Oryctolagus cuniculus: one gene and its partners. The protein of the gene in region 2 interacts with the protein of the main gene of each other region in a pairwise test. Links are inferred from orthologs where the notes say so. Each region holds a gene or a part of one and is shown on either strand. Other genes may lie near its edges.

Region 1 (3,966 bases), on a different chromosome or scaffold from region 2:
TTACCAAAAACTAACAATTTACAGGGGCTAAAGGACAGCTTCCTTTCCTTTTTAAAACATCAAGTATCTTTTTGGTAAGAGCCATATTTTTAAGAAACAGAGCTTGACGCAATCATATTCTATATAATAGGAGTCTCATCCACTCTTATATAGTCTCCATTGACATATTAAGTCTATGTTAAGACTGAAATTAAGGTCAGCTATTGCATAAAGTGGTATTCAGTCTTGTTAACATTTGCACTTGAGAAATGCCAAAATAATCTTGAACTTACTTTTGTGAGAAATCTGGCCGTGTCCTGGCAGGAAGAAAGGTAACAGTTAACCAACACGTGCAAGATCTGTGCAGAGCTCTATCACATCTCTTAAAGAGGCTGCTAAAATACATCGATTTTCAAAATATGCAACATATTCCACTCCTGTCCCACCCTGAGAAATATAGCGGGACCATAAAGGCTAACCAGATTATTCATAATAAAAAGCAAACTAGTTTACAGCCCAAAGAACCATCACCGAGGGCTTTCTCTAGACCAAGGCTTCACACCCAAGATGCTGGGACACCTGAGGTCTGGCATTAACTGTCAAGCTGTGCCACCTCTCATCTTCAAGGCCTGACACCCCACCCGTGTGCGAGAGAGAGAGAGAGAGACAGACAGACCCATCTCTTTACCAAACAGCATAACCAGGATACTGCGTTCAAGCCCTACAAGATTTCCTTCACTTTTCTAATGAGAATTCACGATAGTCAAAGATTGATAGAGTGTTTACCATAAAGAGCCTTTAACAGGGCCACTTGTTTTTCAATTGAGGAATCTGACAAGAGAGGAGTTGGCATTAACTATTTACGTCCCACTGATGTCGCCATCAACCCAGGGAAACTGTGTTTCCATCTGGAGCCTCGGCACAGCCAGGTCTCGCCTAACCCGGGGGGGGGGGGGGGGGTGGTCAGCTTCCACGTGCACCACGACCCTGCGGACGCCTCCCCAAGAACGCCCCCGCCCGCCCCTCCCTTGCTAATTGGTATCCTTAGTAAGGGGCGCGCTGAGCTAAGGCTGGGTCCTGGATTTGGCGGTTTTGTGCACTCGAATGCCGGCGAAGCCCTCCCTCTGCAGGCAAGTGTGCACAGCGCCTTAGAGAGGTCCCGAGTCCCACCGCTCTTAGGATGGACTTATCTACTCATGGAGCAAGACACGAGCGAGCAGGCAGGGAGGGTTGCCCATCTCACCAGCATCCCGTTTGCCCATTAATCCAAAGAACTGCTGAGGCTTGGGTCTCCGGGCGATTCTCTGCAGCAGGTGCTCGAAGGGCTCGGGCAGCTCCTCCTGGAAGACAGACGCGCGGACACACGGGCGTGTGGGCCACGGAGCCAGGTGCGGGGTGGCCCGTGCCATTCCCAAAGCGCGCCCCGGCCCTGGGCGAGCCCCAGCGAGCCAAGGCCCGGGCGGGGAAGCCAGCTCTGCCCAGGGGGGAGGGGGGTCTGCCCCACGTCGGGCGCGGTCTGCCACTCCCGCACCACTCCAGCCCCGCGCCGTGTCCTCAGGCCCGGAGCCCTGCTCTCCCCTCTGCTTCCACGGACCCTGCTCATCTGCAGAGCCGCCCTCCCCCGAGCCCCTCCAGCCCTCCGCCGTGACTTTGTCTCTCCCTGGTGCGGGCTCCAGCGACCTCTTGCTGCCCCGAACACACACAGGTGTGTGTGTGTTTGCAGGGGTGGGGGGAGGGGGTGCTTTCCCCGCAACCCGCACCGCAGGCTCCCTGGCGCCAACACGTACGAGAGCCACCTAAAGCGAAACTCGCAGGTCCGCAAAATGAACTCGCAACGACCAGTGAGCCCCCGCTGAGCGCTCCTGTCCCCGGGGACCCCGTGTGTTTCCCAGCGCGCGGACAGGGCGGGAGACTGCACCTGCGTGAGCAGCGTCGCTCGGGGATGAAACCTTGCGAGGTTTCCAGCCTTCTGGCAACCCGGGGCTCGTAGGGGCGGACTGGACTCTCTCGGAGAGATCCCAGACCCTGCGCTGCAGCCCCAGGGAGAAAAGTTGGGTCCTGGGTGCAGAACCAGGGCGGGAGCGAGGGGGTGGGGTGGGGTAGGGTGGTGGAGCCACTTCCCAGCACTGCGCGCCCGCACTGCTGTGGCCGCGGCCGGGCGGACCCGCAGACTTCGTGGGGTCCCAGCCCCGGAGGAGCGGCGCGGGCTGTTCCCGGACCCGGGCTCACCTTGATCTGGTCGCTGTCGGACCAGTCGGACCAATAATTTAGATCATCGTTGGCTCGGATGTCTTCCGCAGACAGTTGGGTGGAGACGAGAGCCAGGACTGCCAGGGCCACGAGGATTTTCATGTTGGCTTTCTGGGGAGCAGTGGGAGAGAAGGGGACGGGAGGTGGGGTGGAGGAGCCCGTTGATCGGAGCGGCTGTCGGCGAGTTGGGGCAGCGGCATTTTCGGCCCCCAGACGGCACCCGGGATGAGTTGAACCGGGATGAGAAGCGCGCCTGGGTCCCGGGCCTCTGCTCCCCAAATCCCAGCAGTCCCAGGCTCCCCCAGCCCCCAACCACCAAATCGCACTTCCCTTCCCGCGGGACAAAGAAGAGGGTCAGTCTCCCACCCCGGCCACGCGGGATGGCTGCGCTGTGGCCCAGCGCGGGCACTTACGGCGACGGCAGGCCCGCGGGTCCCTGGGCTGCTCGGAGCGCACGCCGCGCGGTGCGGGAGGAGGTGAGCGCGCGCTGTGGCCCGCTCGGAGCCGCGCGGTTTTTATCCCCGGCTCGCGGAGCCTCCGGACCCACGTGACCCGCCCCCCCTCCCCACGACTTTCTGCTCAATATTTAATTAGCCGCCTCTTCCTTCTCTGCCGGCGTGATTGAGAGTTTCCGAGACGGCAACCCGTCGGTGCCCATCACATCTGGACCCCACTGGGCCCGCAGTGACGCAGTGTTAGGCAAGTCGAGGCTTCCGCATCCGTCTGCGGAGCTGACGCCCCCTCCCCTCGCCTTGACACCTGAGATTACTCATCAACCTCCAGCAAAGTGACTCATTCCTTGGACTGGGCCGACTTTGGAGAAGTGATAGTTTTGAAGCCAGCCGACCGGGTACCTGTGGGCAGCAGGACCGGGTCGAGGGCCAGCGGGCCACGGAGGGGGCGCTTCCGTGGGCCTTCCCGCCTTCACCTCTCCTAAATCCCCGGCAGCACTCACACTTCCCCAGCGTTGAGAAAGGGGTGTCTCAGGCTCATAGCGCTTCCGGGGAGGGAAGAGGATTTATTATACGCTTTAGGGAAACTGCACCCAGAGGCGCCCCGAGGTGGCTCCTGTCCCCCAAATCCTCCTCGCCCTGCACAGGAGGGCGTTTTTGCTTCTCTCCCACCCTGTCTTGCACGTGCCCGGCACTCTTAGCTGGTGTCACCCAAGGCATCCGCGGGGACTTCGCCTGTGCATCAAAGTCGGTGCAGTGAGCACGCGGACCGGCAGCCGTGCAGTCGTCCACAGCACAGAATTGTTAGGAAACTAAGGTCAGCGCCTGCTGGAGATCACAGCTTCCCGGGAGTGCACGCTTGCCTTGAAGACACATTTCCTTTACCTGAAGAGCAGAATTACAGGTGTGTGTGTGTGTGTGTGTGTGCGTGCGTGTATGTGTGTGTTGGGGGGAGATAGAGAAAAAGTTCTGTGGGCTGGTTCACTCCCCATTTGGCCTCTACGATCCGGCCTGGGCTAGGCCAGAAGCCGGGAGCCAGGAGCTCCATCTGGGTCTCCCATGTGGGTGCAGGGGCCCAAGCACTTTGGCTGTCTTCTGCCGTCTTCCCTGGGAGCTGGATTGGAAGTGGAGCTGCTGGGGCTTGGACCTGGGCTCCACTATGGGATCTGACGTTCCAAGCAGCCGCTTAGCCCCACTGGGCCACAATGCTGCTGGAGACTCGTTTCTTGCATCTTTATCAAAACTGAATGACATTGTATTTTGGGTGGAATAGTTTTCTCTTTTA
Region 2 (4,199 bases):
GATACCACAACCAACCAAACTACCCTTCCCCACAAAAACTCTGCCATGCAAAACACAAGCTTACAGGAAGATTGAAGGTTCCAACCATGACATAGCTGTTGGCATTCCGGTCATGAACTGTGGCCCCAGGCCCCCGAGTACCAGGCAGGGGTCCCCCACCATGGGTGGCTGAGGCAGACCCTGTCCCAGAAGATGCCCCAGAAGGGAGCTGAGTCTGAGGAGGAGCCCGTTCCACCAAATGGATAACCTTTCCCCCAACATCTGCAGAAAGAAAAAGACATACATCAAAATAGTTGTATGATCAGGTAAACCCATGGCCTCAGCTCATCCCTCTGAACACTATCCTCTACCTCTGCAGTGCCTCCCCACCCCCTTACTGTATTCCTGGAGCTTCTTGTCATCTTGCAGAACTCGCCCCTGATAGATGAGCCGCTGTTTCTCAGAGGGGATGCTGACAGAGGCAGCAATATGCTCTTTAAACTCCTTCACACTCATCTGCAAGGAAGAAAGGACACACACAGGAGTCAGATAAAGGACAGAGGAGGTACAGAAGAGGGACCATGCATTAGGGAAGGTGAGAGGTAGAACTCATATAGAATCACTAGCCAATTGTCTCCTATGTGAGGTAACTATCGTGCAAAGCTTGACTCAAAACAGAAGCAGTAAACTCAAGGACACTCATGGCACAGACCAGGAGAAGATGTGGATAAGAAACAAGAAAGCCGACTGCCAGCCCCCTCTCTCCTTCTTTGCCTGGTTCCCAAGGGAAGGTGCGCTCAGTGCTACCAGTGACCCCTTCCCAAACACAAAATGATACCAGGACAACCCTGTAATCTCAAAGACAGAAACAATGGCAAGGAGAATGGGTTAGGGAATCAGGTGAGGGAAGACTAGCCAAGAAGAAAAGGTAGCAAAAAGAAAGGGAAGAAAGAGAGAAAAAAAAAGAGAAAGAGAGAAAAGAATGAAGGAAGGAAAGAAGGAAGGAAGGAGAGAAAAAAAGAAAGTCATTTTTCCTACCTAGAAAACTCACTCTTATGAAATGCTAGAATGTTTACATACATCTAACCACAAAGGCCCATATTATTTTCTTAATAACATGTGATATTTTATGAAACTATAGATCAGTCTGCTCACAATTCTGTCTCTAGCTATTTCAGGAGTAAAGGCACAGACAGCTGTGTCCACAGCATTAAACAGAGTTTCAAAGTATGCTGCAAATACAGTAATTCCACTCGCTTGTCTACAAAAGCTCTATTCATTACGAATTCTTATGCGCATACTTAAAAAACAGTATAGGCAGTGAGCACCCAGCCTAGCAATTAAGATGCTCACATCCCATATCAGAGTGGCTGGTCAATACCCAGCTCTGGCTCCTGGCTCCGGCTTCCTGCTAACACAGACCCTGGGAGGCAAAATCGATGGATCAACCAACTAGATAGTGTTCCTGGCTTCCAGCTCCTGCCCAGTCTCAGCCACTGCAGGCATTTGGGAAGCAAACCAACAGATGGAAGCTCTGTCTCTTTTTAGAAAGAAAGAGAAGGGGAAAGAGGAGACAGGAAAAAAAAGAGTATACACCCATGTGACCAATTTCTGTTTATAGAAGACACACTTGTTTGGGGGTCACTGTATCACGTCCATTCCCAAAGGCTGTCCCCTTGGGCTGGAGGCCACATAAGATGACAGCGTACAGATTCCTCCTTCCTATTCTCTGCACTGACTTCCACCAAGTTGAAAGAAGGCAGAACAAAAATCTGCCTCACTCAACAGTTAAAAAAGTGAACAAAGAAATCAATGAAAACTCAAGGACTAGAACATCAGGCTCTTCTCCGTCTAATGGGCCCCCGGGACAAAGGGCCCACAGATGTCTTCCAGAAGTATCGGGGTCTCACCTGGGCCCCCACAATAAAGGTCCGAGTCTGAGAGTCCAAGGTCTTCACCAGCACCTCCAGGCTGTCAGGCTCCTCCATAGTGGTGCTGGTACTATCACTGGGCTCCATGGCCGACACCTCTCTAAGAAAGAAGGGGGAGAGGAAGGTCCACTGTCGCCCGGAGCCGATTTTAGATCCAGGAAGCCTCCCCGGGCTGAATCCCCGCCCCAATACCTAAAAAGTTTCTCCCGCACAAGCACACACACTCACACCCGCCCCCATTCCCCTTCCGATTCCGGGGCAACGAGAGAGAAACACAAAGGGCAGATCGACGGCACAGGGAACCGAAGGACAGGAGGTAGGAGGAGCTCCACAATGCCAATCACAATGAGGGCGGGTCAGTCGGCTTAAGATACGGGAAAAGAAGCAAGCATGGGACCAGAGACCCGTGTCATCACCAGTCACGGCACTACAAGGGTCCCAGAAGTCGACAAACCCTGGGACAACCCGAGAGTGGGAGTCGCGCCAGACTCCGCGGAGAAAGTGGTTTCGCGCACGCGCGCCACGCCCATCGAACCCGCCTAAATCACTACAGACCCGGACGGCGGACACTCACGGGGGGCTGGACCGGCTAGCTGACTGCCCCCCCACTTCCGCCTTCCCTCGGTGTTCCAAGAGAGCAGCACAACCAACACACAGCCACAGCCAAACACCATACACATACACTCCCCACCACCCTTCGGCTCCGCCCCCGACTTCCCCACGGTACCGTCACTTCCGGTCTCCCCCAACCTGCCTCCGACGGTCACTTCCGTTTCCCCGATAGTATCTGGGGAATCACGAGGCGGTACTTCCGGCTCCCCCAGGTCCCCAAGCGTTACTTTTGTGGGGCACGATTAGAAAGTCCGTAGCCCCAAACAGTGAGTTGCTGGGGGCGAGACGGGCAGGGGCCGGCCTAGATGGGAGGGAGCCGAGCACCCCGAGGAGCCGCCGCCGTCGTCGCCCGGGGACCGTACTGCGCCTGCGTTAAGTCTCATTACGCATGCGTGCACATTTAAACTCCGCCCACCCACCCCCTCTGGCGGTGGTTACTTCCCCTGTGCGCGCGCTTCAGCGATTGGGGGTTGAGGTGGCCACTATAAATGCCTGAAGAAAAAAATTGCCCGATGAGACTGCCACTGCCTCAAGAGAGACTACGAACTATTCGTGTAGACCTTAGAGTTTGGAGCCTGGAGATTTTGCCCCGTTAACCTATGTTAAAATCCTGGTAAGCGGAGAATTTTAGGCGGCATTGTCCTAGGCACCTAAGCCTCCTAGCGTCTCGCGGTCGTCCTCACGGCACCTTTGCTCCGGCGCCTCCGGAAGTCACCTTTGCCGTAGGCTGTTGGGGGCGGCTCGCGAGATGTTTCTCCGTGCGGTTGCGTCGTTGGGCCGGAGCTCGCTTGTGCCGGTTGGGGCGTTTTGCGGACTGAACGTAGTGTTTGTTCGTCATGGGCAGTGAGCGGCCAGGGAGTCACGCCATGTTGTAGGAAGGCTAAGCCTGCCGCTGTCTTTCAGGACTTTTGTCAAGAGAAGTGTTTTCCGAGTTTGAGAATTGTCGCGATGGAACCCGACTGGACCGAAAGAGGAGACCTTGACCTTGGAGAATTGAAAGGCCACCGAGGGGCTTCCGCAGGGGTGCGGTGGGGGGACTACCGCTTCTCTGCGCCCCCTTTCCCCCACGTCTTTCTGCGATTTGTAGTTTATACCCAGATCCCAGGACTGGTTCAGTTTAAATAAGCACCTGCTCAGTGTGCCAGCCAGTATAATAAGCGTTTTACATATTTTAAAGTTTTGACCTTGGAAATGGGTACTAACATCTGTTTTATAGGTGAGTACGCCTAGACAAACCTAGGTGGTGGAAGTGACAAACACGGGCCCAGTTCGACGTTACTGCTCCAATAAATTGTTACATCTTAGCTTTTTCTTGAGAAATCTCAAAGCATTACCCCCAAAATAGACTAGTAAAATGAACTTTCATATACCCTTCGCTCGGATTTAGCTTTGATTTTTTTTAAACCGTGATCTGTTTACACAGTAAATCACAAGTCCATAGCAAGCCTCAAGTCCCAGAGTAAATCTTTGTCGTAGTCCGCGGGTAGTAAGTAATTTGGCAATGGAGCCCTGGTCATTCAGCAGCAGTTCCTCCCTCAGCACAACCCAGTGACCACAGCGTCACCATTCTTCCCTTAGTGCCTATGGTTTCAGAGATTACCCACCAGAAACTAGTAAGTAGTCTGCAGATACTACTGTTATACTGAATATTTAACTTGGGACTTAACCATTTTCTGG
Region 3 (3,500 bases), on a different chromosome or scaffold from region 2:
TGCCTCCTATGAGACTGTGGGTGGAGCTATGGCAAGTTTCCTTAAGCACCACGAAAGATCTTCATTTCTCGGTCCCACTTTTACAGCAAAAAATCCAAGTTTCACCAGATAGTTTATGCTTAGCTCTCTTGAAAAAGACCAGTTTAGTGGATTAATGTCTAATTTACATACAGTAATAAAGACAAACTTTGAATCTTTACAGATTAAATGCCCACTTTATACCAGGGTGTAATTGTTTGAATTATGGGTGAGTGTAAAGTATATAGATGTAGACGTACTAGATATGTCTATAAATAAAAGAGTGCTTTAAGGTAACAATATTCTTTGGCTGATTTAAAATGCCTGTGGTGGACTCTTACAAGAGACTAAAATGCAAATGGCCCCACGATTATTGTCAATCGCAACACTGAGCTTGTGCGGAAGGTTCCTATACTGTTGACTGTCAGCATCTCCAGATCCACGATGTATTCTCTGGGTCCTGTCAGTGACTTCACGAGCACAAGCATTGCACTGACAGGACTTGTTTGCTAAAATAAAAGAAAAAAGAAGGTGAAAGAGAATACTTTTTCTTGAATATTATTTGAATATTTTCTTGAGTATTTATTAATTATTAGTATAATTCCTATAAGAATAAGGAAAAGAATTTTGAGGTTGAGATAAAACAGTTACTAGTTAGTCCTGTTTTAGTACCAAACCTTCTTGGTTCTTATCCCTTGTCTACCCACGGTCACTAGCTCCAAGTTACAAGTACCTATTTTTAAAAGTTTTTTGCTTCCTATTCTTCTCTGTCAACATTTCTCTTCCCTTTTATTGAGTAGCTCCAGCCTTTACAGAGACTAGAGTTCAGGCCGGGATCTGATAATTTTTTAACAAGTACACAGTACTTTCTTAACATTGTACACTTTTTATATTCTCAAAGGTGAAAACCCATGTAAATTACAATAGAATGAGGTGAATGTCAGGCTCTATGGAGATCTGTGGGATTACAGAAGGGTGTATATACATACAGAGAAAGAGGAAGAACCCTGAAAATCGGGCGATGGCTTCTGATTGCCTGAAGAGAGTCACCTAGGATAAATGGAAGTTTTGTAAAGCAGTACATTCAGGAGAACTGGATGCAGTTTCCTTATGATGAAGAGTATGATGGGTACTGGAGAGCTGTGCGAGATGAGGTTGGAGTAGCAGGTGAGCAGATGTGTGAGTCTGGATGCTAACGGGCAGAAACATGGATTAGGAATTAGCAATGACCCCAACAGTTGGACATTTAACCAAAGGATAGAATGTGTATGTGATAAGACGGGAGTTCCAGAAAAGGACAACATTTAAGGAGAAGGCAGAGGAGAAATTGTTGAAGGAAGCTGAGAAGAAATGATGATTCAGCAGAACACATATGAATAGCCCATAGCATCCAGTAGAGCAGGGGAGGATGAATTACATAGTTCCCTCTGGGGTTAGCAGAAAGGATGGCATTAGTGTCTTTTTTTTTTTTTTTTTTAAAGAAATTTCAGTCAGGTAGTAGGAGTAGAAGACAGAGAAGTGACTACGAAGTGAGGACTTACAGATCATGATTACAGATTGTCTAGGGAAGGAAGGAAAGGGCAAAATCTGGAAACAAGTTAAATGCATAGAAGACAGAGGAGATTCTAATGGACAAGTTTCCAGAAGAGATGGAATAAAGAAAACAGAAGCTGGGTTGGCCTTAATTGACAGAAGTAACTGTCTTTGGAAACTAGAAGGAAGCAATAGGAAGGGGGACACATGGTGTGTGTAGGGGTGTGGGGTGGAAAGTTCAGGTAATTCATGCATGTAGGTCTCAATGGTTTCAGAAAAATAACAGGTGAGGTCTTCTTCTGAAAATAAAGGGAGTATGGAGACAGTCATGATTAAGAACTGAAGAGAATGGAACTAAAGAAATATGAAAAAGTTATGGTGTGTTATGTTGAGCTTACTGAGGACTTATCAAAGGTGGAGACTAAGATTTGATAGTGGCCGGCGCCGCGGCTCACTAGGCTAATCCTCCGCCTAGCGGCGCCGGCACACCGGGTTCTAGTCCCGGTCGGGGCGCCGGATTCTGTCCCGGTTGCCCCTCTTCCAGGCCAGCCCTCTGCTGTGGCCCGGGAGTGCAGTGGAGGATGGCCCAGGTGCTTGGGCCCTGCACCCCATGGGAGACCAGGAAAAGCACCTGGCTCCTGGCTCCTGCCATCGGATCGGTGCGGTGCGCCGGCCGCAGCGCGCCGGCCGCGGCGGCCATTGGAGGGTGAACCAACGGCAAAGGAAGACCTTTCTCTCTGTCTCTCTCTCTCACTGTCCACTCTGCCTGTCAAAAAAAAACAAAAACAAAAAAAAAAAAAAAAAAAAGATTTGATAGTGCAATGTGAGCTGACAAGCTGGGGAGGAAAATAGAAATGGATTATAGGATTGATCCAGGATTACCATGGTGACAGTAGTTCAAATGTCCACTAAGAAGTTGATATGGAGGCCAGAGTGTGGTTTAGCATGTAAAACTGCTCCCATGACACCAGTATCCCATATAGGTGCCAGTTTGTGTCCCAGCTGCCCCACTTCCAATCCAGCTCCCTGCTAATGGCCTGGGAAAAGCAATGGAATATGGCCCAATTGTTTGGCCCCTGCCACCCATGTGGGAGATTTGAAAGAAGCTCCTGGCTCCTGGCTTTGTCCTGGCCCAGCCCTGGCCATTATAGCCATCTAGGGAATGAACCAGTAGATGGAAGATCTCTCTCTCTCTCTCTCTCTCTCTCTCTCTCTCTCTTTCTCTCTCTCTTTTTCTCAATCTGTGTGTGTGTCTCCCTCCCACTGTTTCTGTAACTGTGACTTTCAAATAAATGAATAAATCTTAAAAAAAAAGAAGTTGATAGACTGCAAGAAAATAAGAGGAGGGGATTACAGGACTAACATCATTTTGAAGGTGAATAGCAGAGGGAGTAAGGGCATCTGAGAGAGAACAGAGTCAGTTACTGAATTTCTATTCAACACTGGGGACCAAAATTCTCTATGGAGCTGTTCTGAATGATTATAAAACCCATAGAGCAGTCACGGGCCTTGGTGGCAAAGTAGAATGAAGTTGAAGATCAAAGGAGATGAGATGGCTAGAGAATGGTAGATTGAGGTATGAGCTGATTCTGATAGTGCCAGATGAAGTGTCAGAAAGTGAAAGGCTTCATAATTTAGCCCCTCCTTCTCTTCTGAGGAATCTAATCCACTTAATACACAGTTAAGCCTTCAACTATAACATACTTCCCAGCACTTTGTATTTGAGTTCCAAGCCCACATGTCCAGCTGTCTATTACTTGGATGCCTGATGGAACCAGAATTTAATACATCCAAACTGAATTCATCACCAGCCCAACACTAGTTACTTTTTCTTTGTCTCAGTAACTTGCAACAGCATTTACTATTGCTTAAGACAGAAAAAAGAAGGGTATCCTTGGTACCACCTTTCCCTCTAATTTTAGCAAAGCAAATGGGTTATATCAAGTCAT
Region 4 (4,095 bases), on a different chromosome or scaffold from region 2:
CTCCTTCTCTCTGTGTGTAGCTCTTTCAGATAAATAAGTAAATCTTTAAAAAAAAAAGTTATGCTCAAATTTTAATATTGTGGTTGCACTGTTCTTTCCTAAAAGAGCCACTCTGAAATTCTATGTGGCATATACGGTGTTGTGGCACAGCCATAAAGCCGTTGCCTGTGACGTCAGCGTCTCAGCGGCTCCACTTCCCATCCAGCTCTCTAACACACCTGGGAAAAGCGGTGGAGGATGGCTCAAGGGTTCGGCCTCCTGCCATCCGCAGGCGAGACACCAGTGAAGCTCCGGGCCCTGGCCTGGCCCAGCCCTGGCCATTGCAGACATCTGGGTGAACCAGCAGATGGAAGCTCTCTCTCCTCTCTCCCTCCCTCCTTCCTCATAACTCTTTCAGATAAACAAATATTTTTATTAAAAAAAGGAATGACAAAGAATAAATCACTCTTGTCAAACCCAGTGCTGCCCTTTCTTCACTCATGCTCCCAGAAACTTACTCTAATTGCTGATATACACAAACACGGGGCAACTCTAGAAGCTGTTGCTGATATACAAAGAACTCAATAAAGTGAGCAAAACTGAAAGCAATCTGACAAGTCCATTACTTAAGACCTGAAAAACGAATCCCATACATTAAGCAAAACTTGGCCTATTTATGAAAAATGAAGACTACAATGCATACCTCCAGTTAAAAGAACTCAAAGCAAGGAAAACGCTACATTAACCTTAAATTTCTGCGATGCCTCAAGGAATAGTTTTGTAACTGGAACATCCCAATCTCAGACCAAACAACTTGGGAAAAGATTCTTTGTTACAGTCTAATACTTAAGCCTAGTACAGCCAATGCAACTTAAAAGCTTTAGCTTTGCTAACTGTTTGCACAAGTTAAATATATCTGCCAATTCTTCCTCACTCCTAAGAGAAGCTAGAACAAAACTTGTATTTGAAATGTTTTCATTTTCCTGTAGATGCGCTGAGAAAGGGAAGTTTAGTTCCAGAACCCCCAGTGGACTTGCACTGTGCGAGCCCTCAGCTCACGGAGACCACTCTAAGCGTGTCTGGAGGGCCGCAGCGGGCGAACAGGAGTGCGAGGGGGTCCGGTCAACACGGAAGGCGGAATCCCTTAAACACCGGCTGACCCATCTTAACGGCTAACTTGTGCTCTAAGTGAGCATTCCTTGGAAACGGGCTGAAGATCCCCTTATCCCACCGGCCCTCCGCGGCAGGGCCCGCACCGTGCACTCAGGGACAACCTGCGTGCCCTTGGCGGACTCCGGCCACGATGGAATGGAGTCGGACACCCGCCTTTCCCTGACACTAAGCATCTTCGTGGTTCGCAAAATACCAACTGACAACCACCCGCCCTAGGGCCTCCTGCACGCACACACCCTCCAGAGTCCAACTCAGCCCGGAGCACAGCGAGCCCCCCGCCTCCAGCACACCCGCGGGGACGGGGCGCAAGCACCCTCACCTCCGCGCCCTGCGGCAACCCCTCGCCCCGGGAAACCTCGGAGAGCGGGGTGGGGGTGGGGCAGCGCGCCGCGGGCCCGCTCCCGGCCGCCGCCCCCTCCCCACCCTCCGCGGCCCCGGCACAGCAATGCGGCTCGGCCGCCGCCGCCGCCGCGCGCCGGAGAGGCCTCGCGGGGGAAGCAGAGCCGGGCACTCCCACCCAGGCCCGGGCGGGGGAGGGCGGGCCGCTGCGGGAGACCCCGAGCACGCGGCGGCCGCGGAGACCGGACGCGAGCAGGGGTGATGCTGCCCTCACTGCCCCCCGCCTCCCTCCGCAGTCCGCGACCCCCCAACCTGCTGACCCCTCCAACACGAACACTCAGATACCCGGGGGTGAGGATGCTGCCCAAGCATATCCTCCCGTTTGGGGCGAAGGAGGCTTGAAAGGGGCGGGACGGGGGCTGACAGCTGCCAAGACCGGAGAACCCCTCCCCAGCATTTCCCTGGGAAGGGGAGGCTGCCCGGTCCCTCCATCTTGACCGCTGGCGGAGGGGGTGGCGATGTTGCAGGAGGCTGGACGCGGCCCGACGATCCCACGGGAATCCCGCGGCGCCCCCCCACCCCGCTGCGGACAGAGCGCCCCCCCCCCCACTGCGGGCCCCCAGCCCATCGCGTCCCCCCCACCACAAGCCGGCCGGTCACGGGGCGGGGACGGCGGTGCGGGCCGCGGGGGAGGGGACGCGAGGCCGCGGCTCCCGCAGGCCCGGAGCCCTGGGGGCTGGGGCGCCGACACCCACCTGCCCAGGCCGGGCCGCCCGCCTCCTGCGCTCGCCGCAGCCGCCGAGGACGAGGAGGGAGCCGCGGCCGAGGGCGACGAGCCTGAGGACGAGGACGGCGGCGGCGGCGGCGGCGCGGCAGCGGCCGGCGACGTGAGGAGGCCGCCGCCGCCGCCGCCAGGCTTACGGGCACTGGCGGCCGCGGGCGGCTGCGGCTGCGGCTGCGGCTGCGGCTGCTGCTGGGGCTTCAGCGACATGGTGAGGGGCCCATACACCGGTTCGCACGCCGGGCGGGGACAGCCGGGAGCCGGGCGCGCCGAGGAGACGCCGGAGCGCGGCGGGGACGCGCGGACGCCGAGCGGGGAGGCGCGGGCTGGCGCGGCCGGGGGGGCGTCCGCGCTGGCGAGGGGGAGGAGGAGGACGACGAAGGGGCGGGGAGGCCCGCCGAGACCGAGGAGCCGACTGGAGCCGGGCCGGGACGCGCCGCCGCCGTTGCCGTTGCTACCAAAACAGTCTGAGCCGGAGGGAGGCGAGCGCAGCCCGGAGGGAGGGGGGCCTGGGCCGGGCGGGGGAGGGGCGGCGGAGGGATACGGGCCGCGGGCCGCGCCGCCGCCGCCCCGCCCGCCCCTCCGCGCCTGCCGCGGGAGCGAGCGCCTGCCGGGCCACCTGGCTGCGGCGAGCCGGCGCGGCCCCGGAGCGGCCGCCGCGGGGCTCGGAGGAGCTGCGGCTGCCGGGCGCATCGCGAGGGGCTGGGGGCCTGGCGCGCCGAGGCTGCGGGTGGCTGTGCCCGGTGGGCGCGGAGGTGCGGGGCCGGGGGGGACTCTTTGCCGGAAGTCGGAAGGGTTCGGGCGGAAGCAGAACGTGAGGCGGCCCCGGGGCCGGGAGGGACACGTGAGGTCCGGGCGCCGCGCTGGGCCGCGTCCGCGGGGGTCGGGTGAGGACCAGGCGGCGGGCCCTGCGCGCGGGTCCACCCTCCTCGAGGCGGGTGTGTCCTTCGCAGAGGGCGTGTCGGGCTTGGCTGCGGGGCCGGCCTGGGCTGGAGGACGCGGAGGGAGTGTCCCCACCCGGCGTCTTCGCGGCCCTGGCAGGACCTGGGTCGCCCCCACCTGATGCAACCCAGAAAATGGCCTGCGGGTGCCTTCGGGGCGGGGGCTCAGCCCGGAGCCCCCAGGGCGCTGCGGCCGCCGCAGCGCGCGCTCTGTGCGCCGGGAGCCCCGCACGCCGCCGGCCTGCGGGGCCTCCGGCGTTTGGTCACCTTTCCCTGACATGTGCTCGCAGCAACACAGTGACCAGAAACCTCTGGGCATTTGACCTTCATGTGAACTCTGCTACCCTCGCTTGAACTTCCCCCTCATTCCGGAGACGCCAGGGGAATGCGCGTGAATGGCAGGGCCCCGGGCGGTGGGCCCCGGGCGCTGGAGGCGCGGACTTCAGACCTTGACCCCTGCCCAAGTTGTGCTTTAACTCGGAGCCCGCCCGCACGGCGGTGCCGTTTTTTTGCAAATGTGTTGCAACTAGACGGGAAGCAAGTAGATAATTTTTTTTTTTTTTTTTGGAACCATGAATCCACCTTTTTGGAAAGTGAAATTACTTCAGGAAATGAGAAGGGAGAAGGGGACACCGAAATTTCCCCCTCCATCTGGAGTTGTTCAGATAAAGACCTGGAAAAACTTGGGAGGCTAGAAATCCAGGGCTCCTCGGTAGTGCAAACGTAAAATAACCTCCTAGGGAGTTGGGGCCAACCTCACTCCTGCAGTCACTTGAAGTAGATTTTCCTGAAGTAGAAAATCAGCTTTATTTCCCTTCTGAGGCTAACAAACGATGGATGTAGTCTTTTAAACTGACAGTTGCACAACCCTTTAAAAATTAA
Region 5 (3,500 bases), on a different chromosome or scaffold from region 2:
CAACACAAAACATGGCCCAAGTGTTTGGGTCCTGCCACCCATGTGGGAAACCCAGATGGAGTTCCAGGCTCCTGGCTTTAGCTTGGCCCAGCCCCAGCCATGGACATCATTTAGGAGGTGAACCAGTGGATGGAAGATCTCTGTCTCTCTCCCTCCCTCTCTTCCTCTGTCACCCTGCCTTTTAGATAAAACTAAATACTAAATACACAGATATTAAAAAGAAAAATCCCCCCGTGTGAGTGCCCATCCAGCCTGGCGTGAGCCAAGAGTGCCTGTGCCTCCCACCCACAGGTGAGACCTCAGTTATGGTGGCAGCGCCAGCCGGGTAGGTGAGGATGGTGTGGTGATGTGTTCAACCTGGCCGTCCAGAGTTTCAGTGTGGGCCACACGTAGGCTCCAGAGCTTCAGTCCTCCAGAGCTAGAGCCTCTAACAGCAGTAATCTCCTCCTAGGCAGTCTGTGATGGGATTCCTTTCTCCAGTTGCTTCTCTCAGCCACGTCAGACAGGGCGTCCTGGAACTGCTGCGTGCACTTCCCGGGGGGGGGGGGGGGGAGGTACCCAGGCCGCTGTGATGAGGTCACCTGTCTTTTTCTGCCTTTGTCCTTAGGAGCCAATGAGGTGCTTCTGGTGGTTGGGGGCTTCGGAAGCCAGCAGTCTCCCATCGACGTGGTAGAAAAGTATGACCCCAAGACTCAGGAGTGGAGCTTTTTGCCCGTGAGTGAGGGGTGGTTTGTGGGGAGAGAGCTTCAATGTGCACAGACGCTGACCTGGGTTGTAACGAATGCAGCTGGAAGAGCAGAAAGGCCCACAGGCAGCGTGATGTTCTCACCATCACGGCCTTGTCCGTGCATGGAAGATGCTCAGGGAGCCGAGGTCCTGACTTTAGAAAGTTAGGCTTTAGAAATAAGTGTCTGTGGCCCTGTGTCAAATGAAATTCAGCTTGTCCCACTGGTCAAGTGCCTGTGTAGGTGGCCTGCATGACTCCCAGCATGCTTCATTGGTCATGCTGTGTCCTACTGAACTCAGTGTTAAATTGGGGTGGACATTTGGTGCACTGGTTAAGATGCCACTTGGGACACCCACGTCCCCTACCAGAGTGCCTGGCTCACGTCTCAGCGCTGCTCTGTATTCCAGCATTCTGTCCAAGTGCACCCTGGGGCCAAACGGTTGATGACTCAAGTACTTGGGTCCTTGCCACCCATATGGGGGCCTAGGTCGAGTTCCTGGCTGCTGGTTTCTGGCTTTTGGCCTGGCCCAGCCCCAGTTACTGCAGGCATTTGGGGAATGAATCAGTAGATGGGAGGTGTCTCTCTGTCAGCCTTTCATATAAATTAAACAAATAGATGAAACTGTTGAAGATTATTAAATTGAACTCGTGTTTATTGAACTCAGAAGTTCATATTGTTCTCCCTCGGTATGTGTCTATTTTAGTGTTGAATGAAGGATAATTTCTGAGAAAGCATGGAACTTTTTTGATCGATCCTCCTCCTACCCTTTAGGGCCTATGAATTCTGGCCCTTTGATTAGCAACGTGGGAGAGCTGTGCCAGTCAGTTAGCCCAGGCCTCTGGAAAGGAAAGAGGTGGTGGGCAAGAAAGCCGTTAAGTCTCGAGGCAGCTTGGGAAGAGGCAGCTGTGTCGCGGGCCTGCATCTCCACGCAGCACAGCAAGCCTTGCGTTCAGTGGACAGTGAGGCCACGTGCGCAGGAACCAGTGCCTCAGGGAAGGCTGGTGGTGGCAGGTGAAGCGACAGATGTGCGTGGACACACACAGCGGGCTGGCGAGAGCTGCAGCCCCAGACTCACCTGCCGGAAATGCTGTGCACCTCTTCCCTCCCAACCCCTAGAGCATCACGCGGAAGAGACGCTACGTGGCCTCAGTGTCCCTCCACGACCGGATCTACGTGGTCGGAGGCTATGACGGCCGCTCCCGCCTCAGTTCCGTGGAGTGTCTGGACTACACGGCGGACGAGGACGGGGTCTGGTACTCGGTGGCTCCTATGAACGTCCGCCGAGGCCTCGCGGGAGCTACCACCCTGGGAGGTAGGTAGGTTGGGTGCACAGGGCTGCATGTGCCAGATCAGGGTTCCCACCTCTCCTGTTGTTAGGAACATGAAACCTGAAGAAAAAATTGGTAAGCCCACGTGGTCCTTTTTGCCCTAGAAGTATCAGTTACAGAAGCTATTTAATATTTGTGGATATTTCAACACTGACTACAAAGTTGGTAAATTCCAGTACGCTGGCTGGGGAACTGGCAGTGGGTGTCTTCCTACAGGCTCCCATGTTGGCTTCAGACACTTTGAAGGATTTCATCGTATCCTGTTCTTTTTAGATGTCTTGACTGTGCTGCTGTCCTTGTCCAGAAGACGTAATTAAACATTTTGCTTTTGCTCCCAGGCGTTTGAAGAACCTGTGGAGAGTTTGTAGAGGAGGCTGGTGCTGTGGCTCACTAGGATAATTCTCTGCCTGCGGCGCCGGCACCCTGGGTTCTAGTCCCGGTTGGGGTGCCAGGTTCTGTCCTGGTTGCTCCTCTTCTAGTCCAGCTCTCTGCTATGGCCCGGGAGTGCAGTGGACGATGGCCCAAGTCCTTGGGCCCTGCACCTGCATGGGAGACCAGGAGGAAGCACCCAGCTCCTGGCTTCGGATCAGCGCAGAGCCGGCCGTAGCAGCCATTAGGGGAGTGAACCAACGGAAGGAAGACCTTTCTCTCTGTCTCTCTCTCACTGTCTATAACTCTCTTTCTCTCTCTCTCTCTCTCTCACTGTCTAACTCTGCCTGTCAAAAAAAGAGTTTGTAGAGTAAAGAGTCCTTGGAAATGTGTCATTCTCTCAAATCTACAATTTGTTCATTCTGGGCAGATATGATCTATGTCTCTGGAGGCTTTGATGGAAGCAGGCGTCACACCAGTATGGAGCGGTACGACCCAAACATTGACCAGTGGAGCATGCTGGGAGACATGCAGACAGCCCGGGAGGGTGCTGGCCTGGTAGTGGCCAGCGGAGTGATCTACTGTCTAGGTATGCAGCCTGGGGTGCAGGAGCCTCCGGCTGGGGGTCCCTTTGGGCCAGAATGAAGTTCATAGACTCCTGCAGCGAAACCCTGGTCTGTGTCAGAACGCGTCCCCTCGTGAGTGGCAGTCCGCTCTGTGTGTGCAGTGTATTAGAACTGTGGGAATGCTAGGCCGGCGCCGCAGCTCACTAGGCTAATCCTCCGCCTTGCGGCGCCGGCACACCGGGTTCTAGTCCCGGTCGGGGCGCCGGATTCTGTCCCGGTTGCCCCTCTTCCAGGCCAGCTCTCTGCTGTGGCCCGGGAGTGCAGTGGAGGATGGCCCAAGTGCTTGGGCCCAGCACCCCATGGGAGACCAGGAGAAGCACCTGGCTCCTGGCTTCGGATCAGCATGGTGCGCTGGCCGCGGCGGCCATTGGAGGGTGAACCAACAGCAAAGGAAGACCTTTCTCTCTGTCTCTCTCTCTCTCACTGTCCACTCTGCCTGTCAAAAAAAA
Region 6 (4,180 bases), on a different chromosome or scaffold from region 2:
CGCCGCAGGGCGGAGTATTAGCCTAGTGAGCTGCAGTGCCGGCCAGGGAATGGAACCCAATTCAGCTCTCTCAAGAGTGGCAGGGATCCAATCCCTTGAGCCATCATTGCCACCTACCAGGGTCTGTATAAGCCGTTAAGTTGGAATCAGAAGCTGGGATGGGGCATTAAACTCAGGCACTCTGAGATGGAACATGGAGTCTTTACCCAGCATCTTAACCACCAGGCCAATGCGGTGCCATAGTCACATTCTGAGTGCTCAGTAGCCATGTGTGTCCAGTGGCTGTCTTATCAGACAGTACAAAATATATCAACATTGTTGCACAAGAATTCTATTTTTCTAAGCCGCCAGAGACTTATTTGTCTAGAAAATAACTATAATATGCTAGGGGAGAGAGAGCAAGAGAGAGAATTTCTCCTAGCAATGGTACATGACTTTAGTGACATAATGTCATGGCCTATGTGCCTTTCATCAATGTACCCTTGCCAGATTTTATTCTGTTTTAAAAGGCACCAGTTCTTTCCTTGAATAGTATGGCTTGTACCTTCTTTGGAGATGTTAGCTTTTCTACTTTGTTATTGTGATTCTATCTGTGTTCGCAAATCAACAGACACATGTACACACATGCACAGCCACACACACACACACACACACACACACACAGAGCACCTCTCTTCATGTCTTCATTAAGCAGTCTAATGGCCGTGACCCTAGGCAACTCTGCATTGGCCTCTATTCTATTCATCTGGAATTGAACTCTGTGTGCCTTTTTGTCCAAGCTTCTCAGAACAAGGCCCATTTGTTGTGTGGCTGGCACAGCTTCATCTATTGTGGAGGGGCAGGTACCTCTAGGGTGTTGGTCAAATCATTATAATAGTTTGGTTTGGTCTTATGCTTGGTTTGAAAAATGTGATCTAAAGTCAGCTGACGAGCACAATAGATACAAACAGCACAAGTAGACCTTCTTTGCACAATGGGCGTCCTACAAATTTCTTAGGCGATATTGTGGTCAGACAACAGTCCTGAGCCATAGCCAAGGTGAATTTCAAACATAGCTTTCCCCTAAGTAAAGCAAAGGATGGAATTTTCTGCTTCTAGAAAAGCAGGTTGACTCATGGAAAGAAAGTCACACCACTTCATGGAATTCACTTCACATGTGATTATGACCCAGATAATTATTTTATCATGTTAAAACAAGCCCAGCTTGCTTTTAAGAACACGCATTTATCAAAAACTATACTGTGCTTAGGTTGGGTCTAGATTCATAACAGAGGTCAATTAGCAGGGTTGTAAATGAATGGGCTTGACCATGAAGGTAAGTCAAATTGCAACAAAGATGTTTGGCTACTCCTGGCAATGAATACATGACCAATCTCACTAGATGACAGACTTCAAAGGTGCTTACCTGCTTTTCCTCGGAGCTGCCCGAATCAGCGTGTTTAACCTTTCAAACAGAAAAGAGGAAGCAACGTTACTGCGGGATTGTGTTCTAGCACAAGAAGGCACCCAGTTCACTTATTCCTGTGAATTTCCTGTAAGAGTAGCAGCACTCACCGGGAGGGCGTAGGCCATGCCCAAGAGACAAAAGCAAATCACAGCGATTCTCATGGTGGTGATTGTTCCTGCAAAATATTTTGTAAGAACAGCTTCATAGGTTAAAATGTAAAAATCTGCCACATTACAAAATAATCAACAATCACAAGTAAAACATTCTGTTGAATGTATTCTACTTGTTGGACTAACTCGTCTGTTTGTAACATGGTCTTTGGAATTCATGTTTGTCACTTCCATTTTCCACTTCACTGTTAGACAAGTGAGAGGGGAATTTTACAAGTCTCCATTTTATTCAGTTTTTAATTTAGAGTTCCAGAGATTATATCACCCCTACTCGATATCTAAACCTAAAAGCATTATCAACAGAAATTTAATTAAAATAATAAGCACGCATGGGAGTACCTAATATTCAGAGAAGAAAAACACAAAGGGCAAAAAAAAAATGAAAGAAATTTGCTGTCCCCATTTCTCCAGCATGCATTTAAAACACATTCTTACACCCAAATTATTAAGAAGCTGCTGCTTAGTTGAATTATAGCTATCTTTCAAGTTAGTTATTTAGGTAAGGTAGTCTAGAAGTTTGAAATGAAGAAGAAAATAGTGAAAGCATACAGGTTTTAAAAAATTTCTTGTTGACATTTTTAACAGCTAAACACAGAAGTAAAATATGCAGAAAGGATTTTTTCCTTGAAAATGAGATAGACCAAATCATTTAAAAATAGCATTATCAGTGGTTTACAATAGCACAAAAGATTATTCTTTATTTAATGCCTCCACAGTCATCCAGCCATTTAAAAGACACACACTCATTCCAAGGGGGCATAGAATTTTACTTTTTTCTGACTGGAAGCAGTTGCTTCAGGTCTTTGGAGAATTCAATAGGTATGTTTCTAAGTTTTGCATTTGGCTTTCAAAATATCTGAGCACTTTGGTTCCAGACTTGTAACATATCTGATCTGCTTATTCAACAACAACACAAAAACTGCAGTCTAACTGTTACAGCATCACAGCTTAAACTATTTTCCTTACAACTTGAACTTGCCCATGAAATTCAACTGAAAGTATGGACAGCAACACAGTCGGAGCAGGCTGCAGGCTTACCTTGGTCGGCGTGTGGCTGAGAAGGCTGCAACTGGCCCGAGATGAGTCCAGTCCCAGAGGATGCTGCGCTCTCTGCCTCCTCCTGCTGCTGACAGCCGGAGCCTCTCGGGATTTAAATGCTGCTCCAACATCCTCCAGCAACACAGGGAGGCGGAGAGATGTGTCATGAGGTTGTTTGCCACAGCCCAGCCCACCTGCTCCCACACTTCCCCTTCTGGTTTTGTGGTTAGAAACAAAAAACAAAAGAAACCAAAATTGACACACACACACACACACACACACACACGCACTTATGCACAATGTTAACTGGCTTTGCCATTTACTGGAATGGCATTCGGACTCCTGGAAGAGCACTTAGGGGTCTCCTAAAAGAAAGGGAAAGTAACTAGTTCTTACAGAGATTTTATTTATAATTTCTGAGTTAGGCGAAAAAATACGCATGTAAATCAGCCTGGAATGAAATGAAATAGAAAGGGCTTTTGTTTCCCCAAGTAATAGATGAAGGTGATATCCGCAACCACAGTTGCCGTTCTGTTTCCTGAAGAACTTGAAGGCCACTGTCGAGGCCCAGCGAGAGGAAGCGTCCCTCTGTCCCTTTCTACTCAAGCTCCGTTTTGTGACTTCAAGTCAGCAGCAGCTTGTCATTTAGATGAACGATCTTAGTGACACTGAGGTCCCTATTCATGCTCGTTCCGTTGGAAGACTTGCAGTGACCTTTCAATGACATGGATTTTTGTTGCACGGTCTGAATTGTTCAGAGGTGATGAATCTGGTAAATACGTATAAAAACCGCATCAACTAAGAGAGTGAGCGGCGATTTACGGTGGATGCTGCAGCAGTCAGGGCCGTGTCTGACCGAGAGCAGGATGACCGCCTGAGAGGGCTGCTTCAGGAGCCGCGCTGCGGCCTTGAACCCTGCTCCGTCTAGAGTTGCTGGCCTGACCTTGGACACATCACTAGGCTATCTATACCTGTATTCCTCATCTGTGAAATGCAGACCCTGTTAACCCAGCTCCTGGAACTTTTGAGAGGTTTACATGAGTCAGTATATGTACAAATAACAATGTTGGGTATGCATTAGAGGCAAACGCCCTAGTGTGTTTTTCAATTGAAAAATACAGATTTTTTATTTATCAGAGAGAGAGAGAGAGAGAGAGAGAGAGAGATCCCATTTGCTGCTTTACTCTACAAATGCCTGCAATGACCAAGACTGGGCTGAGGCTGAAGCCAGGAGCCAGGACAACAATCCAAGTTTCCCACGTGGGTGGCAGGAGCCCAGTTGCTGGAGCCCTCTCTGCTGCCTCTCGGGGTCTGCACTGATGGGAAGCTGGCATCAGGAGCCAGAGCTGGTGCTCCAGTGTCGGATGTGAGCTTGACAGCTAGACCAAGGGCCTGCCCCAGGCTATGCATATGTTAAGGGAAGATTAGATTTCTGAATTGTGTTTTTTTCCCAGTTTTTCTTCCAAAATATATGAATTTGGTTATTTAATGAGAAAAAAATAATTTGTATATTCAAAAGCTTTAC
Region 7 (4,080 bases), on a different chromosome or scaffold from region 2:
ACTGGGATTAGGTGCCAGCTGTTGCATGCCCAGCTGTAGGTCATTGAGAATAAGCCAGGTGTTAGAAGGAAATGGTAGGCCAGGACCACGGGTTGTTAACAGGAAAAATCAAATGAGATTGCCTCAACAATAGTACCTTTCGAAAATAAGTAGGGGATTGAAAGCAGAGACAGGAATAAGGTAAGTCAATGAAACACTCACCTTGGTCATGAACTTTATAGGAACATGTAGAAAAAAAAAAAAAAAACCTCAGTTGCTGAGATAAATAATATTTCAATGCAATATTTTTTTGAAAACCAAGGTCAATGTGAAACACTTAATAAGAATAAGATACAACAATTTTAAATGCTCCTCCAGACAGGATCAGTGTTCCTAATTTTCCCTTTTAGCTCTGGTTCCAATATGGCTCTGCCAGGCACTGCCTCCTATCTTTACCTCAGTGCCTACCTACCCGTCTTGCTCCAGACTCCCTGGGCCTTTTCCTTAGTCTTGCAACTCACTAGTCCATTCCTCTGTACCCTTTCTTAGCTCTGGCTCTCCTCTTCCTATATTTCCTCATTTCCCCTGCTCTTGTTTTTCAGATTTTTTTTCCTATGTTCTTCTTTCTTGATAGTCTTTCTTCACCTTTAGCACTTACTCTCCATTTGTGTCTCTCTCTGCCCCTAACAGGGTATAAGAGAAAATTCATCTGATACATTTTGTTATATGTATTTAAATGTTAATGCATATTTTTGATATATATGCTTCCAAGGAAAATATGAAACTCTTAGCTAATACTCTTACCAAGAGTCTCACTTTATTAATTTTGAAATTATTCCTAGGCAAATTACTTAAACTTTCTTTGCCTCAGTTTTCTCATTTCTACAGCAAGCTTGTTTAGCTCACAGAGTAAGTATAAATATTAAATATGGTAATATATATCTAGCATATAATTCAGTGGCTGATACAGGCTTTATGATAGTGTCATCACTGTTATTATGATTAGTATGTTCACCATCCACAGTTTTCAAGATGGATCTATTTAAAGGCATTTACATTTCAGAGACTCTAATTTTGCTAGCTTATCAGGGAATCAACTTTACGTATCTTCATAAATGTTCTATTACATTTTGAAGCAGTATCATGGATGTAAATGTTCCTGGAAGTGGCGTTGTGAGATTTGCTGAGATTAATCAAGACTCAATCTGGAATGCAGTGGCTTCAGCACATACTGTTCACAAAGGAAAACTCTTGTAATTACCTTCTCTGTCACCAGCTTATTTTTATATAAAATTGCCTTTATTTAAATGAAGCAAAGAAAACATTGTAAATAGTATTTCCAGAAAAATACAACCCTAAATATAGCTACTTGGAGCCAAGCCAAATATTGTTATGGCAATTAAATTCCCAAATCAAAAATACAGATATCTTCACTGATGTTTAAGACACATTATCTGACACTGATGTAAATGTTTAAAATTAAACCACTATGAAAATTGAGGGCACAAGATGGCCAGGGAAATGGGCAACATCTTTGTGCTGAAAGCAGTAGCTCCCCGTAGGGAGATTCCAGAACAACCACAGAAACACAGCAAAAATGCCTCTGATGCGTGATTTAAATGGTTTTTTGAAAATTTCTTTTAAAATATTAACAATATGCTTCTAAAGTACATAAACGAATGCTTTTCCTTGGTCTCATTGTGGGTAAGAGTGCATTATTTTTTAAAGCGACATGTTGAAAACAACCTATTAAAGAATGATTAAGTAATGGTATTTCCAGAGAGGTAATAAAATGAAATAATTTAAAATTGTATGATGCGATTTCAAAAAGTGTGGGGAAAGTAGAACTAAAACACAGGTTTATTTTAGTGAAAAAATGTGAAATTCATGCATAGTGTGTTTTCATAATATTTATTTTTTGTGAACTTTTTGAAGATCTTTCATATTTACAGATTCCAAACTGTTGTGCATACAATAAATATATTTTTAAAAATAATATAATTTTCCTTAATCAAATTCTTTAACTTTTTTTTTTTGGAAAAAAATCTTCATCTATTTGAAAGGCAGAGAGACAGAGACAGAGAGCAGTCCCCTCTGTTGGCTCACTTCCGAAATGCCTGCTATAGCCAGACCCAAAGCAAGGAGCCAGGAACTCAACTCAGGAATCGCACATGAGCAGCAGGCACCCAAGTACTGAGCCATCATACTGCCTCTCAGGGTACACATTAGCAGAAAGCTGGAAACCAGAGAATCAAATGCAGGCATAATCTCAATTAACTGAAACTGGCTAAAAGAAACAAACCAGAAAAGCTGTGCAAACACACACAATTTCGTATCTGTGTAGATGTTAATTTCTTAGTAAATTATTTTTGTAACATTTTCATTAGAAAAGATTATAAACAATGAAAACTATACTTACAATTCCCCATTTTCTTACAATTTTATATTTTCTATAACTTTTAAAAATTTTTTCAATTTCAATGACCTTGAACTTTTGAACTTTTATCTAATATTTTAAAAATAAATTCCACCATATCTTATCAGGTATACATAAACGTGTCATGTTCTCACCAGGTGAGGTTTCCTGAAGTTTTAAAGTTTGTCTTATCTGTTGCTGGGCTTTTCCTTTTGCTCCCAGTTGTACCATTCCAAGAACCAAAGTTGTTCCAAAGGGAGAAAATATAATGTTGTTCTTATGTGATGAGCAAATAGCTTGATAGAGATCTACCGCAAATTCGGTATTTTTTTGAGCCAAGGACCTTGAGGGTTGACTTCCAGAAATAAGCAATAGGAGACTCCACAACAAGATCATATCCATTTTGATTTCTGTGCATTGCGAATTAACATTTTGTTAGCTTTCTGAATCCAGTTTACTACAATAAGCTCAACTGGAAACTTGATACATGTTAGAACGTTCTTATAACAAAACACTACCAAAAGAAGATTGTGCAATGCTATTTTCCTAAATAAGTATCATCTCTTAGGAGAATAGGTTCATGTGCTAATGGTGCTTTTATGTTCCTTCAAGAACCATTACCATACATTTGCAGTTTCTTAAAAATCACAGGAGATGCTGTAATTATGTAATATTATCAATGGTAATACGTATATAGATGCATGATACAATTTTACTTTCCTTTTCCATGGTTTTCAGTGGGATATCTGTAAATCTTATATCAAAGGAAATTCTGCCCACAGTACTTAAAATTATTGATAAATCAAGTGGAGATATGGGATTAAAATGAACACACTACAGTGTATTTTTTACCTGTAACATTAGGATGTTAATGTATTCTGAATCAACTGAGTAATCTAAATTTTTACCAGGGCCAGCGCTGTGGTGCAGCGGGTTAACGTCCTGGCCTGAAGTGTCAGCATCCCATATGGGCACTGGTTCGAGACCGGGCTGCTCCACTTCTGATCCAGCTCTCTGCTATGGCCTGGGAAAGCAGTAGATGGCCCCAAGTCCTTGGGCCCATGCACCCGCATGGGAGACCCAAAAGAAACTCCTGATTCCTGACTTTAGATCGGAGCAGCTCTAGCCATTGAGGCCAATTGGGGAGTGAACCAGAGGATGGAAGACTCTCTCTGACTCTCCTCTCTGTGTAACTCGGACTTTCAAATAAATAAATAAATCTTTAAAATAAATAAATAACTAAATTTTTACCATAGCTTTTCTCATATTTTACAGAATTTTACTTCTGTACAGAAAAATACTCCAAAGCTCACCTCATACTCTTCCAAAAATAAGTGAAAAGGAATTTAGAGTAATAACGAAGAAACAAAATGACAATCAAATATAAATACCACAATAATAACAAGGGAAGAAGGCAATTTTAAATATCAAAGAATAATTTGACAAAACTAACATATACAAGTTTTACAGCAACTGAAGACCACAACCAATTCACTGGATAAATGACACTATATTAAAGTACTCTCCACAAAAATCACAGGAAATTCAACCATCTGATTATACCTTGTGTAGAAATAACATTGCAATATTACCACATTCTTGGTAGAATATTGACTCCAAGTCTTCATAAATTTAATAATATCAATTTTACTTTACACATATTGTAGATTAGTGATACCTTAGTG

The links.
Region 1: the proteins of BAG6 (region 2) and TAC1 interact in a two-hybrid assay, tested with the Homo sapiens proteins (2 studies listed by BioGRID and IntAct). The link is inferred for Oryctolagus cuniculus from reciprocal best matches to the Homo sapiens genes BAG6 and TAC1.
Region 3: the proteins of BAG6 (region 2) and EFEMP1 interact in binary tests that used the Homo sapiens proteins (3 or more experiments, as listed by UniProt). The two-hybrid records come from large-scale screens. The link is inferred for Oryctolagus cuniculus from reciprocal best matches to the Homo sapiens genes BAG6 and EFEMP1.
Region 4: the proteins of BAG6 (region 2) and ATXN2 interact in binary tests that used the Homo sapiens proteins (3 or more experiments, as listed by UniProt). The link is inferred for Oryctolagus cuniculus from reciprocal best matches to the Homo sapiens genes BAG6 and ATXN2.
Region 5: the proteins of BAG6 (region 2) and KLHL12 interact in binary tests that used the Homo sapiens proteins (3 or more experiments, as listed by UniProt). The two-hybrid records come from large-scale screens. The link is inferred for Oryctolagus cuniculus from reciprocal best matches to the Homo sapiens genes BAG6 and KLHL12.
Region 6: the proteins of BAG6 (region 2) and SPP1 interact in binary tests that used the Homo sapiens proteins (3 or more experiments, as listed by UniProt). The link is inferred for Oryctolagus cuniculus from reciprocal best matches to the Homo sapiens genes BAG6 and SPP1.
Region 7: the proteins of BAG6 (region 2) and SERPINI2 interact in a two-hybrid assay, tested with the Homo sapiens proteins (2 studies listed by BioGRID and IntAct). The two-hybrid records come from large-scale screens. The link is inferred for Oryctolagus cuniculus from reciprocal best matches to the Homo sapiens genes BAG6 and SERPINI2.

The regions. Positions count from the first base shown.
Region 1 is NC_091447.1:38,674,634-38,678,599, forward strand, and holds the start of TAC1 (protachykinin-1), read right to left. Parts: upstream 2,801-3,966; 5' UTR 2,643-2,800; intron 2,341-2,642; 5' UTR 2,332-2,340; coding exon 2,209-2,331; intron 1,320-2,208; coding exon 1,223-1,319; intron 811-1,222; coding exon 766-810; intron 297-765; coding exon 273-296; intron 1-272. UniProt on the Homo sapiens protein: Tachykinins are active peptides which excite neurons, evoke behavioral responses, are potent vasodilators and secretagogues, and contract (directly or indirectly) many smooth muscles.
Region 2 is NC_091436.1:138,962,309-138,966,507, reverse strand, and holds the start of BAG6 (large proline-rich protein BAG6), read right to left. Parts: upstream 2,801-4,199; 5' UTR 2,661-2,800; exon of another isoform or gene 2,485-2,660; intron 2,011-2,484; exon of another isoform or gene 2,007-2,010; 5' UTR 1,998-2,006; coding exon 1,890-1,997; intron 496-1,889; coding exon 378-495; intron 262-377; coding exon 65-261; intron 1-64. UniProt on the Homo sapiens protein: ATP-independent molecular chaperone preventing the aggregation of misfolded and hydrophobic patches-containing proteins.
Region 3 is NC_091433.1:146,726,815-146,730,314, reverse strand, and holds part of EFEMP1 (EGF-containing fibulin-like extracellular matrix protein 1), read right to left. Parts: intron 528-3,500; coding exon 366-527; 3' UTR 1-365. UniProt on the Homo sapiens protein: Binds EGFR, the EGF receptor, inducing EGFR autophosphorylation and the activation of downstream signaling pathways. May play a role in cell adhesion and migration. May function as a negative regulator of chondrocyte differentiation.
Region 4 is NC_091452.1:8,999,888-9,003,982, forward strand, and holds the start of ATXN2 (ataxin-2), read right to left. Parts: upstream 2,801-4,095; 5' UTR 2,483-2,800; coding exon 2,247-2,482; intron 1-2,246. UniProt on the Homo sapiens protein: Involved in EGFR trafficking, acting as negative regulator of endocytic EGFR internalization at the plasma membrane.
Region 5 is NC_091444.1:18,641,575-18,645,074, reverse strand, and holds part of KLHL12 (kelch-like protein 12), read left to right. Parts: intron 1-607; coding exon 608-714; intron 715-1,844; coding exon 1,845-2,040; intron 2,041-2,855; coding exon 2,856-3,014; intron 3,015-3,500. UniProt on the Homo sapiens protein: Substrate-specific adapter of a BCR (BTB-CUL3-RBX1) E3 ubiquitin ligase complex that acts as a negative regulator of Wnt signaling pathway and ER-Golgi transport.
Region 6 is NC_091439.1:77,729,253-77,733,432, forward strand, and holds the start of SPP1 (osteopontin), read right to left. Parts: upstream 2,801-4,180; 5' UTR 2,656-2,800; intron 1,623-2,655; 5' UTR 1,609-1,622; coding exon 1,555-1,608; intron 1,445-1,554; coding exon 1,406-1,444; intron 1-1,405. UniProt on the Homo sapiens protein: Major non-collagenous bone protein that binds tightly to hydroxyapatite. Appears to form an integral part of the mineralized matrix. Probably important to cell-matrix interaction.
Region 7 is NC_091435.1:113,053,650-113,057,729, reverse strand, and holds the start of SERPINI2 (serpin I2), read right to left. Parts: upstream 2,801-4,080; 5' UTR 2,798-2,800; coding exon 2,551-2,797; intron 1-2,550.